2 linked regions of the Saccharomyces cerevisiae S288C genome follow. The protein of the gene in region 1 interacts with the protein of each later gene in a biochemical or structural test. Each region holds a gene or a part of one and is shown on either strand. Other genes may lie near its edges. The genes, in order: HSH155 and CUS2.

Region 1 (5,658 bases):
TCATAAGTGGCCTTTGGGAAGTTGGACACAATGCCTTTCCGGATTTTAAAACTGTCATACATAATTTCAATTGATTTTCCACTGCATTTAGAAGTGATTTTAACATCAACAGAGAAGGATATAGTTTTCGTCCTTTGTCCTTGTTTCCCCAAATCTGATAAGTGACAAATAGATTGAGGTAACATAGGAACAACCGTATCTGGTAAATATGTGGTAAATGATCTTTTCAAGGCAACATTTAGGATATCTGTACTTATACCCTCAATATCAACATTAGTGCTTTCCGGAAACATAGAAGTTGGATCCGCAATATGAATATATAAAGTGTACAGTCCATCTCTACCATAGTTTTTCACCGACACGCCGTCATCAATCTCATGCGCAGTTTCAGAGTCTATACAAAAAACCCTAAGATCGCCAAAATCGTACCTATCGTCATCAGTGCCGGATTTTTTCCATTGCAATTCTTCTATATTAGTTAAGTCGTAGAGTTTTTGTTGCCATTTCACTAACTTCGAGGAAGCAGGTAATGCTAAATCCATGTTAAGTAACAATGGATTGGGTATTGAGTTGGGTGTTATCTCATTGATTAAATCTTGACATATATCTCTTGTGATGTCACAATCCTTATAGCGTTCTATCTTTCTGAATATTTTTGAGATCAAAGCTACTATAATTCCGTTATTGTGAAAATTCCCAGCAGCAAAATCTTTCAATAATTGGATCACAGAAGGATATAAAGCTGATATATCGCGATATTTCCTTTCATTCACCAATTTTACAAACTTATTGACCTCTCTATAACTGTTGGCTTCTAGCTTCTCTATCACCTGCGCATAATATAAATGTTGTGATTTTAAGGGAATAATCGTTACTGATATAGGCGACAGCAACGCTGTATTCAGATGGATTTCCCCCCAAAGGTTCGATTCCTGTTGTTGCATAATCGCCCAGTACGTGGAAACAAAGGTAGGTGAATTTATTGGTATATCGTTTACAGTGTGATAGTTATTAACTAAACTAGTTAAGTAATTTATTCCATTTTTATCGTCCAAGGCTTTATTTAAATCCAATTTCTGAACTAATCCGACTAGGGTAAAAAAAGGAATCTGCCATGGACCCATATAATTTTGTAATGATCTGTGGAGTAACTGTAATTTTTTGGTAGTAATGGGCAAATCTTTCCAGGCCAACTTTGAAATTTGGGCTGGATACCTACTTGTTATTAGCTGCCTTGCTACAATAGGCAAAATATTCGTTTGGTTAGAAAAGTTCTTAACGGTTCCAATTGGCAAATGTTTGTGATGGCTCTCAGGCTGTATAAGTGAATGGATTCCAGCAGGTAATTTGTGAGGAATCCTCAATAACACCCGGTTTTTGGTCGCAAAGCACATAGTTCCATCAATAGTAACAAAAGTGTATCGAGGATCCATAGTGCTACTTGGAAGACTTACACACATCGCCAATTCATTGGGTCTCATTTTTAAAAGAACAAAGTCACCAACATTTAAGGGACTTTCCATTAGCTGAACAGGTTGAAATTCCATTGGGTTTGGAGCTTTCAGTTTTGTTATTAATTGAAAATCTGAATTTATTAACTTGTAAAGCGGAATTTTTGGTTTTGTTAAAGACCTCCAGGAGTTTACGTACCAATCTTCGGAAGGTTTAACATACCTATCTTTATAACGTTGGTTAAATTCCTGTTTAATTTGAGGCAGTTGTTTTAATTCAATATCAGGCTCTAATCCTTTTGTTCGTTGCAGAAAGTCTTTGTTTATTGATTCTATATCTTTCTCCGGTCCAACCGAACGGTCTACAACTGTCTCTGTAGCTTGATCATTATCTAGCTCTCGTGTGTGATCTAGTTCTACTTTTGCTTGCTGCTTACTCTTACTTCGCTGTCGTTTGCCTCTGGTAGTTACTCTGAAGCAAGGTGTGTAGGAATGAAAGCTCCTTGCAATTAGAAGAACATGTACTTTCCGCCTAACTACCATCACCTGTCTTTATTTATTCCGCTGACAGATATGCACAACCAATTATCGTCTCTTGAAAGCTTTTTAGACGTGATTGCTGTTATTTGGCACGTTGTTAGTATTTAAGCTTATTCGGGTTTGCATTGATATTTGCCCGAGCAGAAATCTCCTTCTCGATGAGTTAGAACTGAAACATCTCTTCAATTACTTATACATAATAAACATAGAAAGCCAGGACCTGTCATCATGAGTCATCCGATTCAATTTGTAAACGCTAATAATAGCGATAAGAGCCACCAATTAGGCGGTCAATATTCTATTCCTCAGGATTTGAGGGAAAACCTGCAGAAAGAAGCTGCACGTATTGGTGAGAACGAAAAAGATGTGCTACAGGAAAAAATGGAAACTAGGACAGTGCAAAATCGAGAGGATTCATACCACAAAAGAAGGTTTGATATGAAGTTTGAGCCGGATTCCGATACACAAACTGTTACGTCTTCAGAAAATACCCAAGACGCTGTCGTGCCAAGGAAAAGAAAATCTCGTTGGGATGTAAAAGGGTACGAGCCACCTGATGAATCTTCAACAGCGGTCAAAGAAAACTCTGATAGTGCTTTGGTTAATGTAGAAGGAATCCATGATTTGATGTTTTTTAAACCTTCTGACCATAAATATTTCGCCGACGTTATATCCAAAAAACCCATAGATGAGTTAAATAAGGATGAAAAGAAAGAAAGAACCCTGTCGATGTTACTTCTGAAAATAAAAAATGGCAATACAGCGAGTAGGAGGACTTCTATGCGGATTTTAACCGATAAAGCTGTTACATTTGGTCCAGAAATGATATTTAACCGCTTATTGCCCATATTACTAGACAGAAGTTTGGAAGACCAGGAAAGACATCTAATGATCAAGACCATAGATCGCGTCCTTTACCAGCTAGGAGATTTAACAAAACCTTACGTTCACAAAATACTTGTAGTAGCTGCCCCATTGCTAATAGATGAAGATCCAATGGTTCGTTCAACAGGCCAGGAGATAATCACCAATCTGTCTACAGTCGCTGGCCTAAAAACCATTCTAACAGTAATGAGACCTGATATTGAGAATGAGGATGAGTATGTTAGAAATGTAACTTCAAGAGCGGCGGCTGTGGTGGCAAAAGCCCTTGGTGTTAATCAATTGCTTCCTTTCATCAATGCAGCATGCCACTCACGGAAGTCTTGGAAAGCAAGGCATACTGGCATAAAAATTGTGCAGCAAATAGGTATACTTTTGGGAATAGGTGTCTTGAATCATCTTACTGGGCTGATGAGTTGTATCAAAGACTGCCTAATGGATGATCACGTTCCGGTGCGAATTGTTACAGCACATACTTTATCAACACTAGCAGAAAATTCTTATCCATATGGTATCGAAGTTTTCAACGTTGTACTGGAGCCATTATGGAAGGGTATAAGAAGTCATCGTGGTAAAGTGCTATCTTCTTTTTTAAAAGCTGTTGGATCTATGATCCCATTGATGGACCCAGAGTATGCCGGTTATTATACCACAGAAGCAATGAGAATAATTAGACGTGAATTCGACTCTCCCGATGATGAAATGAAAAAGACCATTCTTTTAGTATTACAAAAATGTAGCGCTGTAGAATCCATAACGCCAAAATTTCTGAGAGAAGAAATCGCGCCAGAATTCTTTCAAAAATTTTGGGTCAGACGAGTGGCATTGGATAGACCATTAAACAAAGTTGTTACATATACTACTGTTACATTAGCAAAGAAATTAGGTTGTTCTTATACCATTGATAAATTATTAACACCATTGAGAGATGAAGCTGAGCCGTTCAGAACAATGGCTGTCCATGCTGTTACTAGAACAGTAAACTTATTAGGGACAGCAGATTTAGATGAGAGATTAGAAACGAGGCTTATTGATGCGCTCTTGATAGCATTTCAAGAACAAACAAATAGTGATTCTATAATCTTTAAAGGGTTTGGGGCAGTGACGGTGTCACTTGACATCCGTATGAAACCGTTTTTAGCACCCATTGTGAGTACGATTTTAAATCATTTAAAGCATAAAACTCCCTTGGTTCGTCAACATGCAGCAGATCTATGTGCCATACTAATACCAGTCATCAAGAACTGTCACGAATTCGAAATGTTGAATAAATTGAACATTATATTGTATGAATCCTTAGGCGAAGTATATCCAGAGGTATTAGGTTCTATAATCAACGCTATGTACTGTATTACTAGCGTAATGGATTTGGATAAACTACAACCTCCTATTAATCAAATTTTACCAACCTTAACTCCAATTTTAAGAAACAAGCATAGAAAAGTCGAAGTAAACACTATCAAATTTGTTGGACTTATTGGTAAATTAGCACCTACCTATGCACCTCCTAAAGAATGGATGAGAATATGTTTTGAACTATTAGAACTTTTGAAAAGTACAAATAAAGAAATAAGAAGATCAGCAAATGCCACGTTTGGATTCATTGCTGAAGCAATTGGACCTCACGATGTTCTTGTTGCGTTATTGAACAATTTAAAGGTTCAAGAACGTCAGTTACGTGTATGCACGGCTGTTGCTATCGGTATCGTTGCTAAAGTGTGTGGTCCTTACAACGTGCTGCCAGTAATCATGAATGAATACACAACACCAGAGACTAATGTTCAAAACGGTGTTCTCAAGGCCATGTCATTCATGTTTGAGTACATTGGTAACATGTCTAAGGATTACATATACTTCATAACACCATTATTAGAAGATGCACTCACCGATAGGGATTTAGTTCATCGTCAGACAGCGTCGAACGTAATAACCCACTTAGCTTTAAACTGTTCAGGTACAGGTCACGAAGATGCCTTCATTCATTTAATGAATCTTCTAATACCCAATATTTTTGAAACTTCACCACATGCTATTATGCGTATTTTAGAAGGTTTGGAGGCACTGAGTCAAGCTCTTGGCCCTGGACTATTCATGAACTACATATGGGCAGGATTGTTCCATCCAGCGAAGAATGTAAGGAAAGCATTTTGGAGGGTGTATAATAACATGTACGTAATGTACCAGGACGCCATGGTACCTTTTTACCCCGTTACACCAGACAACAATGAAGAATATATAGAAGAACTGGATTTAGTTCTGTGAATATATATAGAGCATATAAATAACCACAACTTGTAAGAATATTTTACTTGACACACCTATATCATCACGTCACGATGCCTTCATAGATTATGATGAAATATAAACAGAACCTGCTATTGGAAAAAAAAGGGCAGGAAAAAATTTTGTGAAAGTGAGTAAAAGAAAGATGAAGAGCGAGACATGGATAATAAGAAATAGATGTCACTAATGGACAATTGGAAGACTGATATGGAAAGTTACGATGAAGGAGGCCTAGTTGCTAATCCGAACTTCGAGGTTCTGGCCACTTTCAGGTACGACCCTGGTTTTGCACGCCAGTCAGCGTCAAAGAAAGAGATCTTTGAAACTCCAGACCCTCGATTAGGTTTGAGAGACGAAGATATTAGGCAGCAGATAATTAATGAGGATTACTCAAGTTATTTACGAGTAAGGGAGGTTAATTCCGGCGGTGACCTTCTCGAAAATATTCAGCATCCTGATGCTTGGAAGCATGATTGCAAGACCATTGTGTGCCAGCGTGTAG
Region 2 (3,197 bases), on another chromosome or scaffold:
ACATCTTTTGGGTAAAGAAGGTCCATCTGCCCCAAATCCATCATTATATGTTAGACATATTTATAACAGAGTGGTGTTGGAAAATTCTATTATTAGATCTGCTGCCGTTGTAGCTTTATCTAAGTTTGCTTTGACGAAGAACGATCCTACCTTATATGAGTCAATCATAAGTTTGTTAAAGAGAATCGCTAATGATAAAGACGATGAAGTCAGAGACAGAGCCACCATTGCACTAGAATTCATTGATTCGGCTAGGAATAAAGATGATGTTATAGCACAAAATCTAATCGAATCCAAATATTTTTACGATATTCCATCATTAGAGTCAAAATTAAGTTCTTACATTTCCTCAAATACTGATTCATTTGCAACTGCATTTGATGTGAATCAAGTTCGTAAGTTTACTGAGGATGAAATGAAGGCAATAAATCTGAAGAGAAAGCAAGAACAAATTTTCAATCAAAAGTCTGAAACCACTTTGGATACTACACCAGAGGCAGAGAGTGTTCCAGAAAAAAGAGCTGACGCTAATTCATTTGCTGGTCCAAACTTGGACGACCACCAAGAAGATCTACTAGCTACTAAGTACGCTGACGAATTGCTATCCATTGAACAAATTAAACCATTTGGTCAATTAGTAAATAGTTCTAGGGCTATCTCATTAACTGAGCCAGAAGCAGAATTCGTTGTACGTGGTGTCAAACATCTCTTCAAAGACAATGTTGTTTTACAATTTAATATTACGAATACTCTGACGGATATTGCCCTAGACAATGTTTCTGTAGTCTGTACCCCTGAAATTTCTGATGAAGCTGAATTAGAAGAGCTATTCACCCTACAAGTGGACAGATTATTACCATCCGAGGAAGCAGCTTGTTACGTTGCATTCAAAAAACTTGATGAAATTGTAATGGAAGGTTTCTTGAACAACTTAACATTCACTACAAAAGAAATAAACCCTGACACTAATGAGCCATTTGATGGTGATGAAGGTTTCCAAGATGAATATGAAATTGACTCGATTTTCTTGAATGCTGGTGATTATGTTAAGAGTTCTTTCACTGGTAACTTCTCCGCTACATTTGATGAGTTGCCATGCGAAGAAGTTGCTGTTTTCAACATTCAAGAAGATTTATCCATACAAGAAGTAGTAGATAAGATTATTTTGAACAGTAGCTGCTTACCGGTGGAAAGTACCCAATTTGCTCCAAGTGATTCAAACTCCCACACCTTGAAATTATTTGGTAAGAGTGCTTTAACTGGATCTAAAGTAGCCCTACAGATTAAGATGATCAAGAGTTCGAAAGGTCTTGCTTTGAAAGTTCATGGTAAAGGTGAAGACAGCTTATTATGCTCTGATCTGGTGAATGGTCTAATGCAGTAAGCTGTGAAATTTTATTTCAGTTAATCCCTTCTTTTGTTATCAATAGTATTAAAAGAAATGCGTCAGCTTTAGCAAGCGTGCATGCAAATAAGGGAATGAACAGCAAGAACAATAATAAACCAAAAAAATCACGGATAGAATATGACGGATCATCACCACACGAAGAATAAATTATGTAATCTTTGTATAAACAAAATTTTTAAAGAAAAATACTATAATAGTTTGACAAGAGAAAACGAAATGGAAGAAACAGGACAACAGGGCAGAAAAAAGTTGACATTATGCAATTGATGAAAGAAGAAGAAGAAAAAAAACAAAAAAAAAGCACTAGTCTGACCAGGCATATTGTAAAAGGCTGCAGACCCTTGAACGCACTACACTTTTCACTGTATTCCGTTACCAACATTACTGTTTGACAGCGATGGATGCTGATGAATTGGAATTGAAAGGTCATTTGAAAAAATTGAAAAAAGAAGAATTGCTTAGAAGGAAACAGTTAAAAGAGAGTAATCTTCAGAAAAGAGAGCTTGAATATAATAATGCCTCAAAAAATACTTCAATATATATTTCTGGTCTTCCCACAGACAAAACAACGAAAGAAGGACTCACTGAGCAGTTTTGCAAGTATGGAATGATAAGAACCAATCGAGATGGGGAACCCCTTTGCAAGCTATATGTGAATGATAAAGGCGCTTTCAAAGGGGATGCCTTGATCACTTATTCCAAGGAAGAAAGTGTTACATTAGCAATCGAAATGATGAACGAGTCGATCTTCCTGGGAAAACAGATCAGGGTCGAAAGAGCCCAATTTCAAAACAAGGAAGGTGACAATATGCACGGGAAAGAAAATGATTTAAAGGAGTTCAACGGACCTGAGCCTCCAATAAAGAGGCTAAAAAAAGCGAAGTCTGAAGGGGAGGGGGAAGTAATAGATTACAATGACGATGAAAGCCTAGCAAAAGCTGATCGAACGGTGATATTTGCCAACGTATTCAATATTTACAAATCATACACAAATGATGATATAAATGATATTCAGGAAGATCTTTTGGAAGGCTGTGAAGAGATAGGTCAAGTAGACAGTATATCTGTATCTCCCAATAAGGGGGAAGCGACGGTCGTCTTTAAGAACAATAAAGTTGCATTGCAATGTTGCAAAATCATGACCGGACGTTATTTTGATGGGCAAAAGTTGCTTGCTTTCATTTCTGGAGATGAGAACACTTCAAGCACAAGTGACAAGAATGAGGACAGCGAAGTGGAAGATGACCTTATATAGAACTGCAGTAAAAAAATGTATTACCCCCATATCTTTGGTACTTAAGTAAAATAAGTGAACACAATGTAATAAACAGAATGGATTAGGGCTTTATGACTTCCCAGTACAAAATAAATGTCGATATAATACTTGAAAATGCAAGCAATGCCATCAAAAAATTTGAGCGGTACGAGAATCGAACCCGTGTCCCCACCTTGGAAGGGTGGGATGATAACCACTACACTAACCGCCCATGTGTTGGATGGTGTAACTGTAATGACGAGGTAATAAGTGATGGCGACTATATCACCACCGAAACACAGCGATTACTTAAAAGGGTAATCACTACTGCGATTCTAATTGTTGGAATAAACCAAACCTCTTCCGATAATGTTGGAACGAGAGTAATTAATAGTGACATGTGTTGCTATGGTAACAATCTAATGCTTACATCGTATATTAATGTACACCTCGTATACGTTTAAGTGTGATTGCACCTATTGCAGAAGGAATGTTAAACGAGAAGCTCAGACAATACTGAAGCTGTGTTTGAGA

Evidence for each region.
Region 2: the proteins of HSH155 (region 1) and CUS2 form a complex in vitro, tested with the Saccharomyces cerevisiae proteins (one study listed by BioGRID).

Annotation. Positions count from the first base shown.
Region 1 is NC_001145.3:843,352-849,009, forward strand, and holds HSH155 (U2 snRNP complex subunit HSH155), read left to right. Parts: upstream 1-2,219; coding exon 2,220-5,135; downstream 5,136-5,658. Other genes in the region: DSS1 (exoribonuclease II), read right to left, coding at 1-1,994; aminodeoxychorismate lyase ABZ2, read left to right, coding at 5,334-5,658. UniProt on the Saccharomyces cerevisiae protein: Contacts pre-mRNA on both sides of the branch site early in spliceosome assembly.
Region 2 is NC_001146.8:93,418-96,614, forward strand, and holds CUS2 (U2 snRNP complex subunit CUS2), read left to right. Parts: upstream 1-1,805; coding exon 1,806-2,663; downstream 2,664-3,197. Other genes in the region: SEC21 (coatomer subunit gamma), read left to right, coding at 1-1,384. UniProt on the Saccharomyces cerevisiae protein: U2 snRNP protein which helps to refold U2 into a structure favorable for its binding to SF3b and SF3a prior to spliceosome assembly. Mediates functional interactions between U2 RNA and PRP5.